Notamacropus eugenii: one gene and its partner. The protein of the gene in region 1 purifies or fractionates together with the protein of each later gene. This does not show direct contact. Links are inferred from orthologs where the notes say so. Each region holds a gene or a part of one and is shown in the gene's direction. Other genes may lie near its edges. The genes, in order: KPNA4 and KIF22.

Evidence for each region.
Region 2: the proteins of KPNA4 (region 1) and KIF22 purify together in Homo sapiens (affinity purification with mass spectrometry; 3 studies listed by BioGRID and IntAct, counting the BioPlex papers as one, with this or other methods). This does not show direct contact. The link is inferred for Notamacropus eugenii from reciprocal best matches to the Homo sapiens genes KPNA4 and KIF22.

The regions. Positions count from the first base shown.
Region 1 is NC_092877.1:364,765,412-364,778,093, forward strand, and holds the start of KPNA4 (importin subunit alpha-3), read left to right. Parts: upstream 1-6,485; 5' UTR 6,486-6,568; coding exon 6,569-6,661; intron 6,662-12,682. UniProt on the Homo sapiens protein: Functions in nuclear protein import as an adapter protein for nuclear receptor KPNB1. Binds specifically and directly to substrates containing either a simple or bipartite NLS motif.
Region 2 is NC_092872.1:47,022,153-47,034,636, reverse strand, and holds the start of KIF22 (kinesin-like protein KIF22), read left to right. Parts: upstream 1-6,511; 5' UTR 6,512-6,618; coding exon 6,619-6,690; intron 6,691-7,297; coding exon 7,298-7,426; intron 7,427-7,602; exon of another isoform or gene 7,603-7,806; coding exon of another isoform or gene 7,807-7,867; intron 7,868-8,355; exon of another isoform or gene 8,356-8,509; coding exon of another isoform or gene 8,510-8,535; intron 8,536-9,241; coding exon 9,242-9,347; intron 9,348-12,484. UniProt on the Homo sapiens protein: Kinesin family member that is involved in spindle formation and the movements of chromosomes during mitosis and meiosis. Binds to microtubules and to DNA. Plays a role in congression of laterally attached chromosomes in NDC80-depleted cells.

The DNA.
Region 1 (12,682 bases):
GGGGAGGCTATTTCTTTCTCTCATTCTCTCTCTCTCCCTACCTACCTCTAACATCTAAATATTTTCCTACCTCTATCATCTATCTCCCACTACCATCTATGTCTCTTTCTCTCTCTCTCTCTCTCTCCCCCCCTCCCCCTCTTCCTCTCTCTCAAATACAGAGTAGATGCAAGGTAGCCATAAGGGAGAAAGGTGCTAACAACTGAGAAGACCCTCCAAACTCAACAGGTGGACATCATATTATCATCCCCATCAAACATATGAGGTACACCATGGATGTCTGGGGGAGTATTTGAACTCAGTTTTTCCTGATTCCAAGTCTTACCCAATTTGATGCCAATCTACACTTAGCGATGGTTTAATGGGTCTTATCTCTAACTGTGGAATGAAAGGCTTTGTCCCCAGTTATGGAAATCAGATGACTGAAAGTGATTCTAGAGGCTAGGGAATACAAGACCTCATCTGAATCCCAGGCAGGATCAATGTCCTGCCCAAGGTCCTACAGGTAATATCAGAGGCAGACTTTGAACTTTGGCCCTCTCTCTCTCCCTCTAAAACCACAGCTCTTCCTGATATGGCATTCTGATGGCTGACATTCTCTTAGTAAAAAACAAAAAATGAAAGGTACAACTCCTCCTAAACATTCCAGACAGGTCAGGGACGGGACTTCCCAGTGGAAAGCTATTCCCAGAAGCCCAAGGTCATTCCTTCAGAAGGGTCCATCCGGAGAGTGAGAAGCCCCCACAACCATGAAACTCCAGCTGGGATTGGCTCCAAGAACTGCCTGGATGCTCATGTGGACCAGGGTTTATAAGATGCCTCTTGGCAAGATGATGTCCAATGACAGGGTGGGGCTTTTCTGGTAATGTGGTTATTTGGGTCCTGCTTGGTCTTCACCCTAGAGAAATTTTAGTAAACAACTCCTTGTCTCTCTATCGCTTTCTCATCTTCAGTTCGTATACATGGTACGATCATGCTTTACTTCATGAGTCTTCTAGGATGAAATTCCTTTAGAATAAAGTTCCTGTTTTTAAAAATAAAAGGAATTTTTCTAAATCATTCGTAGTAGTTATACACATCTGTGGGAGAACGTAAAAAATGTGTCCTTATCCAGCTCTGGCTGGGGAGAGCTGGTCTTACTCGAGGGCTGGGGTCCTTCTTCTCATTCTTTTCTCCCTTCTGTGACTCTTCCTGAGCTCCGGTGCCCGGTGTTTTAGTATCCTCTTCGGTCAGATATCCGTCATGGACAATAATCCTTGGAGGTCTGCGAAGCGGTTTACATGCTGCCCCTTTTAGCCCCGCAATATTCCCGTCGGGGGGCAGACCTTGGACTCCTGGTCTTACCCGATCTACACTTGGCGAGGGTTTCGTGGCTCTCAGCGGGAATGGAAGGCTTTTGCCCCCGTAGCAGAAACTTCCCCCAAGAGTCCGCCCCCCCCAAGCCTGGGCACCGGCTTAACCCCCCCAGGCTGGGCACCGGCTTACCCCCCAGCCTGGGCACCGGCTTAACCCCCCCAGCCTGGGCACCGGCTTACCCCCCAGCCTGGGCACCGGCTTACCCCCCAGCCTGGGCACCGGCTTACCCCCCAGCCTGGGCACCGGCTTAACCCCCCCAGCCTGGGCACCGGCTTACCCCCCAGCCTGGGCACCGGCTTACCCCCCAGCCTGGGCACCGGCTTACCCCTCAAGCCTAGGGTCCCGCCCCTTCCCTGGCGCCTCTGCTCTGATGGCGGGGAGGAATCCGGAGTATCTGCTATCATGGTAACTTCCCAAGGAGGCCGGCGGGCGCTGGGCGCAGCAGCCGGCACGCCGCGGTAACGGTGCGCTCCCCTGTCCGCACCTCCTCCCCACCCCCACTCAAGTCCGACGCTCCGCGGGGACTCGTCGACGCCGTGGACCTCCTCCCGCTCCTCACCGCGGATACTGTGTTACCGCCCGGTCCCGGGCGTCGCCTCCGGCCGCCCCGCACGGATCCCGGCCTGCTCTGTCAGAGGCCCTCCCGTCGGACCCCCACACGCTCAGGGGCTGGCGTCCCGGAGGCGGCTGCCGGCCGGGCTGGGCAAGCCCCCGGATCTCGGGGGGCCCCCCGGGCCGTTCCGCCTGTAAGACAGGGCGGGGGAGGCTGGAGGCCGGGGCCTCTACAAAGCCTACAAGGCCCGGCCCAGCGAGGCGCGCCAGGTGGGCCGCCCCGGCCTGCTCCCGTGCTGGGCGGCTGGGCGCGGGGAGAATCCAGCAGGCCCGGGGGCTCGGCTCCGCTCCCTGGGAGCGCAGGAGCGCCAGCAAGAGAAAGATAAAGAGCGGGAAGATGGAGGAAAGGGGGGAGAGAAGAGAGGGGGGCTCCCCGGGGAGGACGCCGAGCGAGGGCACAGCGCGCCATCTCGGAGCCAGGGAAAGCCCGGCCGAGAGTAAAGAAAGTGAAAGAGGCAGTCGCGGGCGAAGACTCCCGCCCCCTTCTCCCCTCCCCCGCCCTTCCCTTTCCCGCGCCGCTCCGGCCGACCGCCTCCCCTCCCCTCCTGGGCCGGCCCCGCCCTTGGCTTCCCCTGCCCCGCTCCCTCCTTCCCGCCCCTCCGCCTCCCTCGGCGTCGCTGATTCGCCCGACGCCCGGGCCCGGCCGCCCAATGAGCGCGCAGCTCTGGCGCGGGGGGCGTGGCCGCGGCGCCGGGGCCCTCAGATCGAGGCAGCCTCCCCCTCTCCGCCGGCAGGCAGCAGCAGCAGCAGCGGGAGCGGCGGCGGCAGTAGCGGCAGCAGCGGCGGCGGCGGCAGCGGGAGCCCCAGCCGGCGCAGCCGCAGCCGCGCACACGTTCGGCCGCCGTTGCCCGGCACCGCACGGGTTCTCTCGGCTGGAGCGGCGGGCGGCGGCGGGTGGCGGCGAGCGGCGACGAGCGGCGGCGGCGAGGGCGGCAGCTGAGGCGGCCCTGGGAGGGGCGGCGCGGGGGTTGGGGCGGATCCCGCGGGGCTCGGGCGGGGGAAGCAGGCGCCGGCCCGGCCATGGCGGACAACGAGAAACTGGACAACCAACGGCTCAAGAATTTCAAGAACAAAGGCCGCGACCTGGAGGTGAGCGCCGCGCCGCCGGGCCCGAGGGGAGGCCGGGCGGCAGCGCGGGCCGGGGCCGGGGCCGGGGCCGGGCCGGCGTGAGGGGAGCCTCCGGGCGGGCGTGTGCAAGCGTGAGTGTGAGGTGAGTGTGCGAGTGTGAGTGCGCGTGCGCACCGCGGGCCGGGCCGGGTCGGGGCCGGGTCGGGGCCGGGGCTGCTCGGGCCGGGCCGGGCCGGCGGCGGGTGGCGCGGGGGGCGGGCCCGCTCGTGACGCCTCCGCTAACGTGCCTGGAAGTTGGGGCCTGCGCCGCGGCCGCCGCCGCCGGAGGGAGGCCCGGCCTAGGCCCCCGCCCCGCCCCGAGCCGCCGCTTTCGTTGCCCGGCGCGGGCGGGAGGGAGCCGGGAGCGCCGCGTGGAGCGCGGGGCCGCAGCCGGGCCTCGGCCTCGGGGTCGCCGGCCCCCCGGCCCGCCCTCTAACAGCCCGAGGGCCAGGAGCGCAGCTGTCAGCGCCGGGGCCCACGCGTGGGAGCCCGGGAGGTGCCCCCTGCGCGCTCCCCCGGACCTCGGGGCCCGGCGTCGTTGGGCCGTTCGATTGGAGTTCCGTGCGGCGAAAGTGGCCGGCCTCCTCCTCCCAGAGTTTTCCCAACTTCCAACTTGACTGTAGGGGGTTCTAGAGGGGGTCCGCTGGAGTGAGGGTCCCAGTTCAGTGGGTGGGGAGGGCGGGTAAAGTGTTAGCTGAAGGATTGGAAGTATTTTTGAAAGTCATTGGGCGATGGAAAAATTCTGTTATTGAGACAAGTCCTAATAGGGTTGAATCTCCCTAGCACTGTTCTAGTTGTACGTTAAACAGATTCGAGACTTAAAGGCATCCGGGTAAGCATGATTTTCCTGTACTGTAGTTTGGAAAGGAATGTTTTCTCTTTCCATACGAGAGGATATGAAGGGATGCACCTGTGGCCACCAAGCCCCATTCTCATTTTTGGTCCATCAGATTGAGCTTTCATACGAAGTAGATGTGACTTACTCAAAGCCGCAGAAGACCGGTAATAGACCGTAGGTGGGAATCCAGGCCTGCCTTGTGCTAGTGTGCGCGGTCTAAGCAGGGATCCTTGCTTCCCCACCCCAGCATTCATACAGAGATGTATCTTGTGTGCCTCTTGTTATATACGTCTTTTCAATAAAGTCTTGACAGGCACCGCAAGTTTTTTTTAAATAAAGTATGGTTTATGGGTCGTTTGAGAAAAACCGGGGAAGTTAGTTTTTATGGTTAGGTGGAAAAGCTACCATGATCACTCCATTGCCTATATTCCAGGAACTTAGAAAAGAAATATGTAATATAGGAAGCATATAACTGAATTTTTTCAACATTTCATTAGTAATATGTAGTGAATGAAGTCAAGAATCCTCAGGTTTTATTCTCTTCTCGGAAGTCTGTGTTTTACACCTTGGCAAATGGCTTAGCCTGTAGTATTTTCATCTATAAGGCTGGAGGAACCTGACCTCTGCTTCTTGAATGCTGTGAAGGTTAGTGTTAGGATACCTTGTAATCCTCATGACATTTCCTCACTTTCAAAATTCATCATGGAGTTTGGAAGGAGCCCCAAAATATTTTTTTAATAAATTCATTTAGTAAATAATGAAGTATTTAATAAGATTCAAAGTGGTCGGCTAGTTTGCTTCATTGTTTTTCTGTGTTACAGTTCCTAAGTTACATTGAATCCCTGGAAATGGACCAAAAAATACTCATTTTCCAATTACTAAAAGTTAAAGGACATTTTAAGTACAACCTAATGATTTGTCTGAACTCCCTAGTTTTCAGTTTGTGTTAACTGGTAGTATCTGTAAGCTCCCCCTTCTCTTACCTTTGATCCCTAACACTCCTCCTCTTCCCCCACCCCCACCCTATTCAGAATAATTTTCAGAGAACTTCAGGTAACAGAACCAAAACATATTTTACTTTTTTTTTTAGTGTGATAGTATCACTGTTCAGTTGCAGACAGTAACCATAGAGAGGGACACAAGGCAACAGAGGAAGTGGAGAGTGTCCAGGCTTCTAGAACAACTTTCCTAGGGAAATGTAGTTTAAACTGAAAACTTACCTGATTTATTCTTATAACATATGGTAGAATTTTCTTGTAGGAATTTATTTTTAAAAAATTTTTTCATACATTTTTACTTAAATAGTACTTGACAATAGAAAAATTCAAATAAACTGAAGAACAAATAAATGTGAAGCTTGATAAATTGGGAAGAGTGTTGGAAGTGGAGTCTGCCAGATCTGGGTTGTAATCCAGCCCCTGATGCTCACTGGCTGTGTGACCATGAGCAAGTCACTTCACCTTTCTGGGTCTTAGTTTCTTTTATTTGTAAACAAGGGATAACAATATCTCTAGGACTCACCTTACAAGGTTGTTGTAAGGCTTAAATGACATCATGGATGTCACGTGTCTGCAAAATTTAAAGACTTAAATATGATTTGAAACTGATTGGGTTTCTTTTACAAAAAGCAGGGCCTAAAACAACAATTTACTCAAAATATAAAATGTTGTAATATTTTCTATGACCTTTTAAAAATTCTAGTGTTAAATTTTTTAAGTCTTTCCTCCCTAATTATGGCCATGACCACATAACAGATAATTTTTTAAGCTAAGTTACTATGAATATTTGAAGTCATCTGTTTAAATTATGAAAAGGGCCTAGAGCTTCTTAAACTGAGGTGACTAGAAATTTTGTTGTATAGGCACAGTCTGAGTGGGTGTGACCTGTCACTAAATTCAGTATAGAGTAATTGTTAAGCTGCTAGGTCTTGTTAAATTTTAGAGACTAACCTCTCATCACAAATCTTAAAACATATGTTCAATACTTAAATAATTGCTGTATGTGATTATTTTTTAAAACTATAGATCAAGCTTGTAGCCAGCATAAAATATTTATACATCTTTGGTTAGAAAATGTCATCTGACTGAGTATTGCTAATGTTTAATTCTAGTTGATAAAAATATAGTTGAGAATTAACTTTCTGTACTTCCCATGAATTAATCTTTTACTTTACCTGTAATTCATGTTAACAACATGAGTTTCAGAACAGTTACACTTACAAACATGAAGATGTTACTCATTTTCCTTAAATGAAATTTTTAAAAGCTAGTTTTCATGTGTACTAATCTCTTTTAATAAGTGCTCCAAAGTAGTGAGAAGAGGTATAGTGATAATTACAGGCTAAATAGTAAAATACTAAAGCAACTTTCAGCCTTTTTTTTTTTAAGCATTAGTCACTGACATGGGCCTTAGTCATTTATTAAAAGTGAGAAAAAGTGTATAAGGTTACTGGGAGCAGTATTTTCATCTTGTAGAAAGGTTGGTGTATATTGTTTGTGCTTTCTACACATGAGAATATACAGTTCAAAACACTCATTTGCAGGTTAAATATAACAGAAGAGATATGGGGAGATAAAATCCGAGGCTTGGAGTAAGGAGGACCTGGGTTCAGATATCTTCTATGAAATCCTATTAGGCAAGTCACTTAATCTCTGCATGCCTCAAGGAGCCATCATTGGAGGGACAAAATGGACAGTGTGTTGGTTTGGAGTCAGAAGATCTGGATTCAGTTCCTGCTTTTACTGCCTGGTATGACATTGGTCAAGTCTCTTCACTTATAAAATGATGGTGTTGGACTTGATGGTGTCCGGTGGGTCTTCAGCTCTACATCTATGATGCTGTTTTCCCTGGGACTTAGCTACTAAGTCGTAGATGGGTTGTTCATGATTGGCCTTGGCATCTCAGCTTGTCATTTAAAATAATCTTTATATTGGGACCCAAAATTTAAGTAGGGTGAAGACTGTACCTATGATTTCAGTGGTTTAGAGAACTGCTGGGGGAAGAAACTAAACCAGTGCAAGCCAGTACCTTCTTTCTGCAACTTGCTTTCAAAAATTGGCCTGGGCCTTGGTGGTTAGTGATTAAGTGACTGCTCCACAGCACTGGGGCTGCCAAGGTTTCCAAGGGGGACTGGAAGCTCAAGCTTCCTCTCTTCATAGTTTTTCCACTGTGTTCATACCTCCTTTTATCTCTGCGGTTCCAGTCAGATGAATGTGCCCTTTTGTAATGATAATCCCTCCCATCTTTACGTTTTAACAGGTTTTACCTTAGGTAGTAGCACATTGGTGGGACTTGTTTGTGTCTGCTTCCTTATCTGTAGGACTCAAGTGAAAACCTGTCACCTAGGGGACAGGAGAGAGAGAATGAGAATATAGCTCTATTTGTATTTGTAATATTTAGCGTTATTTGACCACACCTGCATTTATTTTGTTTCCCGACAATGTAAAAGCTTCTCTAGCATAAGCTCTAGTTTAGTTTCCCCACTACCTGGTAAGTAAGATACTATGCATGTAAATACAGTAAACATTCTCTGCTGACAGGGCTTAGGGATACTTTGTTTCATGTGAACTCCAGCTTTCTCTTTTCTTCATCGTTCATTTTTAGTACAAAATTAAGTCTCATGTCAGCTAACAAAACTCTTGTGTCTTCATTTTAAGTTACACTTTGACAAATCATATTATAAGTGAATCCTTAATTTTTTATTTTTATTTTTTTTTTACTATTTGCCCTAAAGCAACATGTGCCTAATCTGGCTGTTGTTACAATGAGGAAACAATCATTCTCTACCTCACTTTGGACAATGGTAATTGACCAGTTGGTTATCACTGATAGTTCTTAAATTTCTAAGCATTCCTTTGCTAGTTCCCTAAAAGAAGTTTTACTTAGATTTATTTGGCTTAATACTTGTACAATGGAAATCTGTTATTTGTGTCCTTTAAATCTCATGAGGGAATTTGATTTTACCCCAGGCTGACTTCCTCACACTTGTAAGCTGCTACCACCCCAAGAAGTCAGCCGCTGTGGCAGAGTGGCATTTTTGCTCTTTTCGTTGCAATCAGAAATGTAAACTTGGCCTTCCTGGTTTTTTTTACCTCTCTTCTTGTATTTTGTATGAAGAGGGGAAGGTTACAATTACAATAGCTAGTGGTTTTAAGAAACACAGTGGAAGTTTATAATGCTAGGGTTGAAAAATAGGGCTAGCACTTGTTAGAGGTTTGTAATGCAGTCTGTAGCTGTATTTGCAAGGATGTTATTTTCATAACCTTACCTGAGATAGTAGTTGAGTTTGTATGACTATTAATAAAAGTGGGCACTACACTGTACTTAGAAAGTCCCTGTAGTTATAGTATTCTTTGTGCCCATTTTTTTATTGAGAAAGAAGAGAGTAAGCATTTCTATAGCACTTACTGTGTGCCAGGCCCTGTGTGAAGTACTTTCCACATGTTATCTCATTTGATCCTCACTAGTTCTGGGAGGCAGTTGCTGCTATTTTCATTAAGGAAAATGGAGACACACAAAGTTTAAATGACTTGCATAGGATCCCCAAGCTGATCACTTGATTCCATGTCTGCCTTTCTAGCTTCTGTACCACCTAACTTCCTTTAAGTATATTGGATTTAGTTCTCATTTAAAGAAAAAGAAAGCTTTCAAGGTTCTCAGGTAGATAGATGCAAGTTTCTATGTATCCTTTCCTAAATTACTCCCACCCCAAAAGTCTCCAGTTAAAATTCCTAGAACCAAAGATTAAATTTGGTTTAGTAGTTTATACTTTGCATCAGTACTTTATAATTTCGAAACATGAGGATAATCTCAGATAATCTGAGTCAATATTGTCTGAGTTAGTGAAATCCTCATTTTTTTTCTCAATTAAGCTCATTTGGTAGGCCCTTACCACTGTTTTCCTGGACTATAGTGTAACAGCTGCCTTATCCAGGCTTTTCCCTCACAAGTCTATCCTCCGTGTACCTGCCAAATTAATATTCATAATACACACTGGTGTCTTCCTCTTACCTTTAAAATAAAAGTCAAACTCCTGACTTTTAAAGCCTTTTACATTTTGGCTCTCATTTCCCAGGCTTGTTGCTCATTTCTCTCCTGTAGCCAAACTGACCCACTTGATATTTCCCCAAGATGGAGGGGCATTTCCTGCCTCCATACCTTTTGCACAGGCTGTCCCCCAATGCCTCGCATTCACTCCCTTCTCACCACTACCATTTAGAGTCCTTATCCTTTTTCAAACCTTTGCTTAGGCCACTTCCTTTCAAAGCTTTCACTGATCCTTCCAGCTTTTAGTGACCTTGAGTTTTGTATCTATTTTGTATTGACTTTGTGTATGGTTTTTTTCCTTCCAATGGATTGTAAGTTATTTGAGGGCCAAGACTGGTATCCCTCATACCTTGCATGTGAGGAATAGATTTAGAGATGGCTGGGCTCCCTTAGCTCATGGGGGTCTAACCCTCTCTTTTTAGAGATGAGGAAACTAAGGTACATAGAGGGGAGATGATTTATCTAGGGTAACATAATAATTGGCAGAGCTAGGATTTGAACCCAGCTTCTCAGACTCTGAATCCAGCCTTTTCACAGGATCACAATATGTAGTTCATAAATACTTGTCAAGTGTTTAATGACTAGACTAGTTTAATAATAGCCTCCTCCTTATCTAATATCCCCCTCCTCTCCAATCTGTCCTTCATTCACCACACTGCCAAGCTAATAGTCCTAAAGCACAACTCTGCCTCTAACTTGAACTATCAGGATCCTACCCACCTTTTCTCAGTCCTCATCCTCCTCACCTTTCCTGACCTTTGGCACCCCTAATCACTCTCCTCTCTTAGTTCTCCTATTTGACTGTTCCATTCCGTGGATCTTCATATAGGTCATGCCCACTAACTCTGGGCCCTCTTCTCAGTCACTTCCCATGGTGTCTGTTGTCATCCCTGTCCAACCCTAGCCTTATCTGGCTAGAGAGTCTCCCATCTCCAACTGTCTCTTGGAACTCTGGGTTTATGTATCCAGTAGACATCTTCAACTTAACATTCCTAAAACTGAACCCTCCTTGCCCCCTCCTGACTTCCCTCTTCCTGTCAGAGCTCACCCAGACATGAACCATGACTGCTTCCCCCCTTCCTCCCATCTAATTTGTTGCCTGGTCCTGCTTTTTCTCCTTTTCTAGGGTCTCATTTGCTTCCCTCCTTTGACACTGTGATTCTGCTGTATTCTCTCATCACCTCATGCCTAGAGTATTTCAGTAATCTTTTAATTGATCTCCGTGCCTCAGGTGTCTCTTCTCTCTAGTTCATCCTCCATTTAGGTATCAGAGTGATTAATCTTCCTAAAACTCAGATGTGACCGGGTCACTTCCTTACCCAGTAAACTCCAGAAGCTCACAGTTACCTTCAAGAGCAAATATACAATCCTCTGTTGTGCTTGTAAAGCCCTTCCTTTCTGATCTTCTTACCTTTGCTTCTCTCCTCATACTCCGCAATCCAGTGACAGAGGTCTTGCTGCTCTCTGCACGAGTCACTCCAGCACGTCTTTGTCCAGCTCTGCATTTTGACTGACTATCCCCCATGTCTCTTTTTCCTCAGCTCCACCTCCTGACTTCCTGGCCTACTTCTGCAAGAAGCCTTTCCTCAGCTCCGCTAGATGTAGCAAGCACTTTCCCTCTTGATTTCCTCCACCTAAGGATTGAAATTTGTATTCTTAATACCTGACTCAGAGCCTTATACATGATAGGCACTTAGGAAATGATCATTGCATTGAGTTGAATGGGTTACCTCTTCAGGAAGCATTCAAAGATACATACTTTGTAGCATTCAGAGACATAGTCATTACGTTTTTAAAGGTGAGAGCTTTTCTTATCCACTATCCAATTGTTTGTGGGATGGTAGCTCACTGGTATCCTAATTAATTCAGAGGAAGTCTCATATACAATGAATATGTTGGTGGGATTGAATTAAACAGCTTCTAAGTTATTCCAGGTAATGCCATATTTTCCTTTTTTCTTCCTCCACCATGTTTATGAATAAAAAAATAAAAGCACTTTACTGTTTGCCAGGCACTATGCTAAATGCTAGGGATATAGATATGAAATGGAAACCTTCCCTGCCCTCCAAGAGTTTCTCTTCTAATAGGGAGTGATGGCTAAAGAAGGCCTTTTGGTCTGAATAGTCCCAGGGTTGGTAAATAGAGTCAGAGCTAGGGCAGTCTTTTGACGTGCTGTTTCTGAAAGCAGCAGTGGTGGTAGTATTTTGAGCAGGAGGAGGTGCCCACAGGGCAGTCCAACAGAAAAATAGTCAGGGAGAAGCTAAGCCAAGTGTCAGGAGCAGGCTGGATAGAATTGGGGTCTCACTTGTCAGGACAGCTTAACTCCAGGGGAAGAGTTCCAAACAGGACATTACAACAGCAGCAGCAGTGGGAGAGTGTGGCAGGAGATGGCAGTGATATTTATTAATAACCATAGCTACTATTTACATAGCCCTTAAAGGTTTGAAATGCACTTTACAAGTATTATCTCTTTTGATCCTCATAACCTGGGTGGGAGGTACATTATTATCCTCATTTTACAGAAGGAAACTGAGGCGAACAGTTTAAATGACATGCCCAGCATCACATAGTCAGTAAGTGTTTGAGGCTGGATTTGAATTCATATCTTCCCAAATCCAGATTCAGTGCTTTGCCCACTCTGCTACCCAGCTACCAAGATGAAGACAATGCAGGAGAGACTAGAATTTGACAGCTACGTGCCTTTAACTCCTACTAGGCTGGAGGATAAAACTTGTTGAGTAATATTCTAGTCCCAGTCCTACCCCAAAACAGCATTTGTAGTCCTATGTAAATATAAAAATTTCCATTAAAGGAGTGCTTGCTGTGGGTTCACTAGTATTTTAGTGGAAGGGGCATGAGGTTTGGAATCAGTACCTAGGTTCAGATCCTAATTCTCCTGCTCTCTTTGTTAATTCATGCCAGTCACTTAACTCCTCTGGACCTCCATATCCTTGAATGTAAACCGAGAAGGCAATGGGCTGGCTCTAAGCTCTAATTTAGTCTCTTCAGAATCATCTCATCACTGATTCTTCTCCAAGCTCTGGTGACCACTTGACCACGCCCTCCCTTCATTTCCCTCAGCTGGAGGTACAGGGCTATCAGCAGTCGCAGATGGCATCCAGCCCTATGGGAAGATACAAGCCCAAGCACTGAGTGCTGGGGCTGACTGCCAGGCCCAGAGTTGCTGAAATGCTAAACTTGTAGAGAAAGGCAATCAGAAATATAAATTGTTTTAAATGACCTGCATATCTTTGATTTTCTTCTGGTTAACTTTGCTACTGGTTCTTGTAGCTTTGGGTAAGTCATGGTTATTTGAGATGCTCCTCTCTATAGCCATTGTAGATCAGTAAACCTTTCTCAGCAGCACCTCTCTCTACCACCAAACGCCTGCATTCCCTTTAGTGGTACTGCAGAAATAGGTTGGATTTGGAATACCTGCTAGCCCACTTACTAGTTCCATCACCTCAGTTGTGTCACTTGACTGTGATACTAACGGATATAATCATATTCCCCACCCCCCAATCTTGGGAATTTTGTGAAGCTGCAAGGATGATGATGTGTGTGAACATGTTTGGTGTTTAAGCAGTATGCTGATCATGCCCACTGCTTCTGCCCTTGGCCCCAGTGATGCTTTTTTCCCGTTTGACAATAATCTTACAGTCTAGTTAGCAAAACAAAGAATACATAAATGAAACTGCTAGAAAAAATTAACTGGGCTACCTA
Region 2 (12,484 bases), on another chromosome or scaffold:
GAAGTGTTTACCAAACCTGGAATTTTAGAGATGGTATGGAGATGGTTGCTGTGGCTCCTCTCCAGTTCTGCTCTCCTACTCTCCTCCTCATCCTAAGATAGATTTTTTTTTTTTTGCTTGCTCAACCTTGAGATGGACAGAGTCAGATAATAGGGATTCAAACCCCACCTCTGACATTTACTATGTGTCTGACCACAAGCAAGTCACCTAAACCTGGGGTTCATTTTTCTCTTCTAATCAATGACTACTGCTCATTGTAGTGCCTCAGAGGGTGTGGTAAGGCTTTAATGGCTCTGGAGGAGGAGTGAGGCTGGTGACCTGCACAGCCCTCCCTCACTCAAAATAAAGTCAAGTGTAAGTCATGTCATCATTTCTCTGATGGCATGGTGTTCTTCTGCAACAAACACTGCTCATTGTAGTGTCTCAGAGCTGTGGAAAGGCTTTAATGAGTTAGGGTATGTAAAGGCCTTTATAAACTGCCTTGTGCTACACAAATTACCAACTACTATAAGGACTTTTCAGTCTACCCTTGCTGCCATGTACAACAGCCTGTTTTCCCTCAAGTCTGTGTGACTTCCCTAATAGGCTCCTGACCTTATTCTCTCATTTGTTCTGAACCCTAAATCTTGACAGCAATGTGACTTAGAAGGAGCACTGAACAGGAAGTCAACGTTCTGGTACCAGCTCTGATACTAAATCTGTGATCTTGGGCAAGTTCCTCAGTTTCTGAGAGGCCTCAGTTTCCTCACAGGTGAGATAGGGAGATAAGCCCTGATTATCTCAACAGTTCCTTATGGCTCTAACATTTTAAGTGTCTATGATTATCCTTCCCAGAACTGGGGCTCTGACCCTAAGATCACTCCTAGTCCAGAAGTTATCTTGACCCCAGAAGAGGAGGATGACTGAGGATAACCCCTGACACAAGAAGAGAAGGATGACAGCATGATTTTGTAACCCATGACTTGGGGATCTCCAAGTTTCAGGCTCACAAAGACCAGGTCTAATCTTAGAGTCTGGCCCCTAAAAGCAATTTTCTCTTTTGGCTCCTATACCCCTCTCCAGATTTTCTCTGAGTCACCATATGTAGCTTAAATATAACATATGTCTAGATTTCCACAGATGCAGATAAATTCCCTAGGTATGATATAAACATTCGAGGTAATAAATGCATGTCTGATACAAGACAGTATTTTATTCCAAAGAAATACAAAAGTCTCACAGGAGTCTGTAAATAGACATAGAAAATGCAGTTAGTATTCATAGTAGCCTAGAAGCTCTTCCAAAGGAAAATGAACTTGCTACCATCAGGCAGTCCAAAGAATTCCAGAGAGTTAAGCAGTCCCTTTCGTACATATAGTACCACCCTTTGATTTGGACTCTTTCTGGAAGGCAAACACACTTTGCGATTTCTGGGCAGACAATTCCTTTCTCACTAAGAGAAATATTCCCAAAATATTTCCAAAACTTGGTATTAAAATGGGCAATAACATATAGGTCTTCTATACTAGCAGCTCTCTGTATATAGGGCCATGTAGATGTTTCTGTTCTTTCTCCCACAAGATCCCTTTCTGCAAAATCCTTTTTCTTTCTAGAGGATCTGCTTTGCAGTTCTTGAATCTGGGAATACTTTGGAGGCAACTTCCAAGACTGGTGATACTCAAGAAATCTCCCTTGTCAACTAGAAAGCTAGATTAAAAGATCATACTGCCTAAAAAATTGGGGTTCAGGAACACTATCCCTGCACTTCTCTCTTGCAATATATAGGGAAGCTTATGATTATTTCTGCAAGAATTCTTGAAACTCCACTATGGCCCCAGATCCTCCCATGTCCTGGCCTGGAAAAGGCCACTATCAGAAACTCTTCCCTCTGACCAAATGAGCAAGAACACATTTAACTTTTATGTCCCCAATGCTTTTGCACTGTTTCTTACCTCTGTGGAGACTCTGCAGTCCAAGAATTTTTTACAAAGGGAGAGAAACAAAACAGCATTTGTGAAACACACTATCAGAATTGAGGCTGCCACAGAGGTCAGGGCAGTGTTCTGCATTGGCTATGTTCTAGAATAGAAAGACATAGGATTGCATGAGGACATATATATATAGTGATATGCACACTGTGGGGTTTACTTCCTATCTTCCTTCCCCTGACCTTATCGTTGCAGGCTTCCATGAGTGAGAGGGGAGAGGGCAAATAGGTGCAGACCACAACAAGTACCAGGCAGCAGGCACAATGTCAAGAAACTAAAGTGACTGTAGGCCAGTACATCTGAAAACCTCCTGATCAGAAGCAGAGAAAAGAGCTGGAAGCCATAACGAGAGAAAAGATCCAGAGGAGCAGAAACTATCAGTTATTATGAATCCCATTGGGCTGATTTCACTCACTGTCTTCACTGATTTTCCCCTATCTCTGATCTCTGATCCCTGAGACAGGACTCAGACTCTCCTTTCCCTCATTCCTTTCTTTTGGGCCACAGGCTACTGTGGTCAGGATTTCTCTGAGCCACATTCAAATATCTGGAAGAACAACTGGGAGACATTTTGGGAACTGTCAGGAAAAGGATGCTACCATTCAGAAGTATGTTATCTAGCTTCTTTTTCAGTTTACTCTATTATGAATAATAAGCTATAAGATCACAACATGTTGTCTCTAAATCTATGGGTGCAGTATGCAATACGTTGAGAGGGGGGAACCTAGATGGCTCAGTGGATAGAGCACTGGGTCCTGAGTTGAGATAGATCTGAGTTCAAATCTGACCTCAGATACTTCGTAGCTGTATGACCCTGGGCACATCACTTAACTCAGTTTCCTCATCCCAAAAATGAGAAATAAATGATAACCCACTCCAGTATCTTTGCCAAGGAAAACCCCAAATGGGTCATGACTAAACAACAAGAAAAACCCCGGTAGGGATTAGGAGCTAGATATAGGTGTCAGATTTTGGTTTTTCAACATTTGGAGCAACTTTCCATTTCATTCCCTAGATTAATATTGGACCAGCCAATGAGAAGTTAATCCAAACTGCTGAACAAAATCCGAGCCCTGCTATAGCATGAACTTTCCTGGGAAGGGGAGGGGGGTGAAAGGATTGAGCAGCCCAGGTGTTTGAAGGCTGTAGTCCACCTACTGGCCAGGCAGGCTATTGCAGGTTCTTAGGCTGGCTATCCTGCCCAAGAAACTGAGAAAGCTGGGTTGGTGGCTCCAGTAGAGTGCCACCTGTAGATAATGCCACTCTTACATCCTCTTGCTACATAATTAGCACAATGAGACCCTGACTTTCTGTTGCCTTACGTCTACATCAAACCACACAACCCAGGGAGTCTTATGGGTTGTTGTGAGGATCAGATGGAAAGTGCTTTGTTAACCTTAAAGCCAGATGTAAAAATAGTGATTTTAAAATTGGTCCGTTTCACCAGTTATGCTCCTGTTCCCAACTTCCAGTGTGGTTGTAGGGAAAAAACTGCTGAGCCTAAAGTGCCAACTCTACTGCATCTTGCCTCCTGGAGGATCCTGGGTAACTTACTAAGTCTCTCTGAGCCTGTTTTTACATCTGGAAAATAAGGAGGTTGGACAATCAGTGGTTCTCCAAGTGTGATCAGGAGACCTCTGGTGGCCCCCTGAAACTCTTTTAGGGGGTCCTTGAAGTCACAATTATGTTCATTACAATGGTAAGATATTTTAATTTCTAATATGGTAAATATCAGTTAGAAATAACCATATTGTGTTCATCATTTGTTGTGGAAGAAGACCATGCCATCTGAGAAATGATGACAAGACTTGCACTTGACTTTGTTTTGAGTGAGGGAGGCCTGTACAAGGTCACCAGCTTCACCTCTCCAGAGCCCTCTGAATACAGTGACCAGATATTCATCAGGATAACTGGAGATGATCCCAGATGCTCTTTGCAGGTACTCACTTAGGATGAGGCAACACCCATTCATTGAATAGGCCAGTTTAAGAAGTAGCCAAGGCCCCTTTAATGAGGTCAAGAAAAAGAAAGACATCAGCCTGGGAGGGAAACAGCAACAGTTACTATTGATAATCACTCTAAAGCTAGGAGGGTCCAGAAGAGCCTTAAGGCAGGGGCCCATTGGCATCCCACCTTCAGAGTGCAGTAGGTTTGAGGTTTAGGGAAAGGACAGGACAGGACAGGACAGGTAAGGAAACGAAACGAAAGGAAACTAGCCAGTAAAACCCAAGTCAACTGGGCATCTTTTGGCCATCCAAATTTACCTTCCTTTGGAGAGGAGAAGGAAGGGGGGAGGGGGGAGAGGCAGACAGGAGAAGAGGAGCTGAGTTACCCAGCTAGCTGGGTTCCCATTCAGCCAGCTGCATGTACTCACAGAATTGTGTTTGTCCTTCCTTACCGAAGAAGACTATGCCATCAGAGAAATGATGACATGACTTGCAGTTGACTTTGTTTTGAGTGAGTGAGGGCTGTGCAGGTCACTAGCCTCACTTCTCCTCCAGAGCCTTCTGAATCCAGTGACCAGATATTCATCAGGATAAACAAGAGCTCTGTGAGGTCCTAAATAATTTTTTAATATTTTATTTTTCCCCAATTTACATGTGAAAATAATTTTAACACACTTTTTTCTTAATTTCTGAGTTCCAAACTTTCTCTCTCCCTCTCCCCTGCCCCCACATTGAGAAGGCAAGCAATTTGATACATGTTGTACATGTGCAGTCAAAACATGCAAAACATATTTCCATGTCAGTCATGTTGTGAAAGAAAAGAGAAAATACAAGAAAAATAAAGAAATAAGGAAAACGTATGCTTCAATATGGATTCAGATTGTCAGTTTGTTCTCTGGAGATGGATAGCATTTTTCATCCTAAGTCCTTCAGAATTGTATCATTTTATCCCTAAGAAGAAGTAAGTCATTCATAGTTGATCATCACACAATGTTGCTGTTACTGTATAAAATATTATCCTGACTCTGCTCATTTCACTTTGCCTCAGTTCGTGAACGTCTTTCCAGGTTTTTCTGGGAGCATCCTGCTCATCATTTCCTGTAGCACAACAGGATTCACAGCTTGTTCACCCAGTCCCCAATTGATGAGCATCCCCTTAATTTGCAATTCCTTGCTAGGTCCTCAACAATTAAGAATGTAAAGGGATCTTGAGACAAAAAAGTTTGAGAATCACGGAACTGGATGATCTTTAAGGACCTTTCTAGCTACAAATATTATGAATCCTGACTACCATTTAGTCAGAAAACAAGCATTCACTAGCAATATGATTGACGAGAGGCAAGTTGCTCTCTCAGTTTCGCTTTCCTCCACTATAAAATTATGCAAATTATATTTATACAACCTACCTCATAGAGTTTGGAGAAAATTATTTTGTAAGTTTCAAAATTGCTGTATGAATTAAGTTTATTAAATTTCTAATAATGAAGTATGGTATAATGGTTAAAAAAACACTGACTTGGGAATCAAAAGAATTCAGGTCCAATTGTGGCTCTGTCTCTAGCGTGCTTGGTGACCTTGGCACTGACTTGGAAGAGCAGAAACCTTTGGTTTCGTTTTTGGTTCAACAAATCAACTCAGTGAATGTGCCATTGTAGGGAGAAGGAACTTCCTGCTAGCCAAGATAATGCTCTGCTGGTAACACTAAATCCTGTGGAGTGGTGGCTCTTGACAAATCTGAACTTAGAAACATCAATCCACTTCCCTACGAGCAAGAATGATGAGAGCCAGCAAGGTGCTCCCACCCATTACTAATTAGTAATGTCCTCAGCTCCCTTGATGTTACTCTAAGATGTGGAGCTGCAGTCATGCTCTCCTTAAGTTACGACTTCCGTTGTGCCCGGTCCCAGGGAGTGGTTTAGAACAGAGCTCTCTCTTCACCAGTGTCCTAGCATGCATGTCCTGGGTAGCTTACCTATTCACTGATGCACAATAATCTAAAACCACTTTACCCAGGCCTAGACAGGAATAGAAAGCACAGTGGATAGAGCACCGTGCCTGGAGTCAGGGAGACCTAAGCTCAAATCCAGCCCTGGTCCCTTCCTAGTACGTCATTTAACCTCTGCCTGCCTCAGTTTCCTTCTCTGTAGAATGGGGGTGATAACAATAGCACTTACCTCTCAGGATTGTTGTGAAGATAAAAGGAGATATTTGCCAAGGCTTTGCCAACCTCAAAATGCCATATAAATCCTAGAAATTATTTTTATCGTTATTTACTAAGTACCTACTACGTGCCAGGTGCTGTACTAAGGTGTTGGGCACGTACAGAAAAGCCAAAACACAGTCCTTACTGTCCAAGAGCTCCCAGGCTAACCCGGGAGACCACGTGCAAGTAACTGAGTACAAACAAGATGCAGACAGGATAAACGGGAGGTAATTAACGGAGGGAAGGCACTGCTAGCACTGAAGAAGACGGGGGAAGAGCTTCTTGTAGGAAGCCAGAAGGAGGTGGAGACGGTGGAGAGGATCCCGGCATGGGGACAGACAGCCAATAAAAACGCATGAAGTCAGGAGATGGAGAGCCACAGAAAAGGGGCCGGCGTCACTGGATCGTCGCGGGTGGAGGGGAAAGGAGAAAGAGTAAGGTGTAACAAGAACGAAGGAAGGCTTTGAGATGCCGGCGCATTTTACATTGGATCTTGGACCGAATGACAGGAGAGTGGACAGTCCGCCAGACCGGAGCTGAGCCAGCGGACCCTAAAAGCGCGGAGAAGCTGAGGGTGGGCTTCAGGGTGGGGGCAGGGTCGAAGGGGAGGAGGGGCTGGGCCACGGAGAGGTTACGTTACCGAGGTGGAAATCCCAGGACTCCGCATGGGATTGCCTGGGGGAGGGGAGAGGGGGGAGGGGGGAGGGGAGAGCGAGGAGGACGCCTAGGTTTGGGGCTGGAGGACGGCGAGGATGGGGGCGTCCGGAAGAGAGAGAAGCGTGAGAGGAAAAGGTAACGACCCCGCTCTGGATCTGCGGAACTTGGGAGGTCCGCGGGGCGGCCAGCCTGAGAGGCCTACGGGGCGGCCGGAGCGGAGGACGGCGGCAGAGGCCCTGGAGAAAGCACAGCGAGCAGGGAAGAGGGCCCGGGCCCAAAGCTGGCTCCGGGGCCGGAAGAGCCCCCGTCGGGAGCGGACGGGCGGGGCTGCCTCGAAGCCCGCCCCCTAGGAGCTCGCCCGGACTCGAGGACGGGAGGAGTGCAGGGGCGCACACCTGCGCAGACGCCACAACTGCAGCCCTGTCGGAAAGGGCTCCGCCGGGGGCGGGGGGGGGAGGGCGGCTGGGGACGACCCCACCCCTTCCGGCGCCTCAACCGGCCTGACGCTCGCCATTGGTCGAAAGGACCGGAGGAGGCGGAGCCGCCGGGGAATTCGAATGCCGAAAGGAACCAGCTCTGTGGAAGAGGAGTTGGGTTGGGGGCGGCCGGCGAAGCAGAAGCCCGAGAGATGGCGGTGGCAGCTGCGGCTGCAGGTAGGGGCGCTCGGGGCAGCTGCGGGCCGAGGATGGCCCACGCTGCCTCAGCAGGGGCTCGCTTCTCTGGGTTATCCCTTGGAGGTTTCCCGGGCGCGCGGGGTGGGGGATGGGGAGAAGGGAGGTGGGGTCGGTCCCGCGGTGCAGGCGCAGGCGCAGAAGACGCCGTGCGCGTTCCTTCCGGCGCCCCCGGATCCTTTCTCTGCCCTCCTTCCCCCAGGGTGGGGAGAGAGAAGTGTGGAATGGGTTGTTAATGCCTCCCTTCGCGGGTCTGAGACTTGAAGGAGGGAGCCCCGTATCTCCCCAAAGGGAAGCGGGGTTCAGGAGTTGGGAATCCCGGACTAGACCAGAGCTAGAAATGAGAGTGGAGTTGAAGACTAATGGAAGCTCTGACGTGGGACAGATGGGGAGGAAGAGGACTCAGTGACAAACCAGACACCTGTAAGTCAGGAGAGGCCGGTGACAGCCCCTGCTCTCACAGAGCTCACTTTTAATAGGGGAGACTGTTGAGGTCTGAGGGGCGCTGGGGGACCCCGAAATACAGACACCGGGTCCTGCTCGAATGAATTCGACACTAGCCTTCTTAAGGCCCCCAAAAACAAAGTTTATTAAAGATTCGCCATTTTGGGTTGACTGTTAAGGAGCCTTTATAAGCATTTATAACGTTTGTATTCACTAGCGGGCCAGATAGAATCTCAGCTAGACAGAGTCTGAGCGCCTTCATGGAGGCAAGATGGAACTTAAATACAGAAAAAGACTGAGGGAAGCATCCAGGTGTGGCCAGGTAGTCTGGGGTCCCAGGGATGGTCTTGAAAGATCAAACCCAGGGAGGATTCTGATTGGAGTGGCTGGTAATAGGATCAAAGAGAGAAATATGGAAAGAATGCTAAATAGAAGATTATCTATTTATTATCTGTTATCTGCCTAAGAGAGTATCTGACCTGAGAGAAATGGAAGGGGAATCCAAGGAGCTCCCTGTCCCCCAAGGCCAGACTGCCCAGGGCCCTTCAGACAAATGTGACAAAGCTCTTCCCATCCAAAGGGAAAAGGTCTTGGTTTGAGCTTGTTCCCCATCAAGACCACATGAAAACAACTATGTACAAACAAAGGTATATGCAGGATAAGTTGAAGATATTCAATACAGGGAGTACTAACAATCATTGAATGAAAACCAGATAATTTATATTGTCTCTATGCACAAAGCAAAATAGCCCATTTTTAAGTTTTAAGTTTAAGCGTTTTAAGTTGTCATAGATATGACACTTTAGAGGATTACTCTTAGGATCACAGGATGATAAAGTAAGCTGGAAAGGGCCTTAGAAGGCATGTGAAACAACCCTCTTCATTTTAGAGATGAGGATTTGAGACTCAGAGACATTTAAATGAGTTGCCAGGCACAGATAGAGTGACAGCTGGGATTCTTTGTTCCTCTTACAAACTCCTGATTGGTAAGGTACTGTCTCCTAGCTTGACTCCCTACCATAGACATGCAGACCTTTTCATTAGGGACCAGTGCTTTCCTTAAACATTCCATTTCTTCTGATCACTCTCTGATGGTTTCTGCTGATCACCTGTAACATTTATGGGCCATATCCTACAAGTTAGCATTTAATTATATTCTCTCAGGTTCTATTTATTCTTTTGTCAGTAGACAAGCATTTATTAAGTGCTTACTATATGTCAGGCTTACATATGCTTATTGACTCTAAAAACTAGACTTGTACCTTTAGAGAGACCTGTAGTATAATGAAAAGGACACTGAACTAATTAGATGTCAGGAGGCTGAGCTTACAGTCCAGGCTCTTAATCTCTAAGGTTTCCCGTATCTCTTCAAAACAAAACAGAAAAAACCTGACATTGACAATGTCCAGAAGAAAATATGTGTCATCCTGCATCCTGAGTCCTTCATTTCTATCAAAAGGCAAGTAGCATGTTTCATAGTGAGTTCTGGAATGATGATTAGTCATTATGGTGATCACATTTCTTAAGTCTTTCAAAAGTGTCTGTCTTCCTTATATAAATTTACTTGCTTGTATAGATTTCACTCAGCATCAGAGTCCAGGTTTCTCTGAAACCACCCCTTTCATCATTTCTTAAAGCACAATAGATTTCCATCACATTTTTATACCATCATTTTTCCATCCATTCCACAGTTGAAAAGGACCATAGTTTTCCACTTCTTTACCACCACAAAGGATTGTATTTTTTTTTACATACCTACTAAGAGTTTGTTTTGCTTAGGACTAATCCCTTCCTTATTCTACCCTTCTTTTTCTCCCTTTCCCCTCCTATTTTGTTGTGTGTATGTACTTCTGTGCCCACTTGTATCTGTGTGTGTAACGATGCTTCCCTTTGAACAGTTTAGATAAAAATGAGGTTCAAGTGTCAGCTGCTTCCTCAACCCTTTCTTTCTTGCTTGTGTAGACTTCTCTTTGTGCGCCCTGATTATGTGAGATAATTTTCCCTGATCTTCCTTTCCCTTCCATCCTCTCACCCTGCTAATGTATTCCTCTTCCCTTCTCTTTTCATTCTTCATTTAAGATCTTCAAGACAGAACTAAATCCAAGACCTCTCTCTGTGACCCCTCTTGATAGGGTTCAGAGGGAAGACTTTGGGATTATAATCTTTACTTTCTTAGATCCTGGGAGAAAGGGTGTTGGGAGTACTAGTTGTTTGGGTTCTGGAAAGGGAAGAAAATAAAGATAGGGAGGTGAGTATAAGTTATGGGCAAGGAGGACCAACAATTTTTTTTCTCCAATAAATACTTGGGGTCAATTAACAATTACATTAATAAATACTTCTTGATTGATTAGCTTTTTCCCGCCCTTTATTTTCTATTTTGTTCACAATGGGGCAGCTTAGCGGAGTAAACAGAGAGCCATCTACAGAGCTGGGAAAACCTAAGTTCAAAGTTTCACCCATAGAACTACCAGCTATGTAACGATGAGCAACTGACTTAATCTGTCAATGCTCTAGGAGTCTACAAAATAGAAAGTTTAGCCATGAGGCAGCTACAGGTATAGTGAATAGAGCAATGGATTTCAAAACTAGAGTTCAGATCTTGCTTCTGCCACTTCTTAGTTTTTTTCATTTATAAACTGAGGATGATAATAGCACATACTTCACCAGACTGTTGTGATGACCAAATGAGATGAGTAAGTAAAGTACTTAAAAACCTTACATTACTAGCTATGAAGCTGCAGAGAAGGTACAGGTCTATTTTGGTAGAGGAATTTTCTGTACCATTGAAATCACAGGTCCAGTCCCATATTTTCATTTTATTCCAATAACCACCCCATAAAATAAAAGGGTCATATTTTACAGAGGGTGAAACAGGGAAAATGATTTGCCTAAGTTTACATTTCCTTTTTTTTTGGCTGATTCCCCAAAGGAGCCAGTCTGAATCAAACTCTTTGGTGTGTATTACCTAGTGAATAAAGGATTTCATCACAGGAGCCCATCAATCCAACCATCTTTCTTGGCACTAAGTCCCAGAGGGCAAACTATCTTTTTTGTCTCCTCACACAATTAGGATTAGTGTCTTATTTCTTACTCTTACAGTATGGCATATACAGAGTAAGTGTTATGATCCCCTTTTTTCACATGAGGAGACTGAAACTCAAAGAGGTATTGGTGCTTGTCATGTAGCTATTGTCAGTCAAGATTTGAACCCAGTCTTTCTGATTCTCAGATCAGTTATTTTCCCACTACACCACACCTGCACTCAATAAAACCTTCACTAAGGGCCTAACCTGATTCCTCATTATAGTGTGGAAGTAGTCCTAGGTTCTTGAAGGCTATGCCAATGGAATACAAACTCTGATAGATCCTGCCAAGGTGATGGGTGAAATATGACGTCCAACAGCCAGTGTAGCCAAGTTCAGGGAGGCTCAACTCCAGAAGAGTCACAGGATAATAGATTTTATTTTGATCACAAAAACTTAAAGAGCATTTAAGTTATGGAATGGTTATAATTTGCGTTAGATTTACCTGTATCAATGAAAATTTACATCTTTCAAGGAAGAATTACCCTAAATTAAAGCAATGCATGGCCAGCAGTGTCTGTTAAATAATCAATAGCAAATAAATATTTTAAAGTGCCTACTGTGTGCTAAACACTGGGGATATGAATTTAGAAAAAGGTCCGTGCCCTCAAGGAGCTTATAATCTAAAATGGGAAAACAATACACAAAACAAAGTTGAAAAGCAAGATGGGGAAGAGGTGGAAGGTGAGACTGGTGAAGCAAAGATGACCAAAATGGATGTATAAAAACAATATTCTTCCTCTTGTCCACTGCCCCTTGGGATCTTTTAAGATATGAAAGACATATCAGGCCATTTTACTCCTTCTTAATAATTCCCAGGCAATGTAGAAAGAGCATTAAATGCTGAGCCTGACTGATACTTAATGGCTGTTTCCTGTAAATATGGAAAACAAACAATACTTGCATTGCCTACCTCACAAGGATCTAGTGAAAATCTAGTAAGATGATGGACATGAGTATATTTTTGATTGCAAAATTCCATATATGTAAGACATTTCAGCTAGAGTAAGAAATGTGGGATGGTAAACCTGTGGGACTATTTGTCCCATATATTGGTAATATATTGGTAATTCTGCATATATTGGTAATTCTGCTGTTAGGAAGATAGTGTTAAGTATCATCCATAAATGTGTTTGTAGATCCTTTTCACTGTACACTTGAAGACTAGAGGGTACAAGTAATGGTGATGTTTTCTCTTGTTAGCTCTCATCTCTGTTATCTAAGTGTTGTAATGTTTCTTGTTTCATTACTTAAAGATTGTTATCCACTGAAGAGAAGACATCTTTGATTTTACTAAGTCATCAATAAGGATTACAATTTTTATGTTTTCATAATCATAAAATGTTAGAATTGGAATGGGCTTTGGATTACAATGTTAGAACACATCTTTCCTCTTTGCAGAGAAGTGGGAGGTTGTGGGTATGGAATATGTGGCATGTTGTCAAACTTGATTATTTTGTTGGTGGCTTATGCTATTTTTCTGTATTATAAGAGAAAATTCGATGAGGGAAGA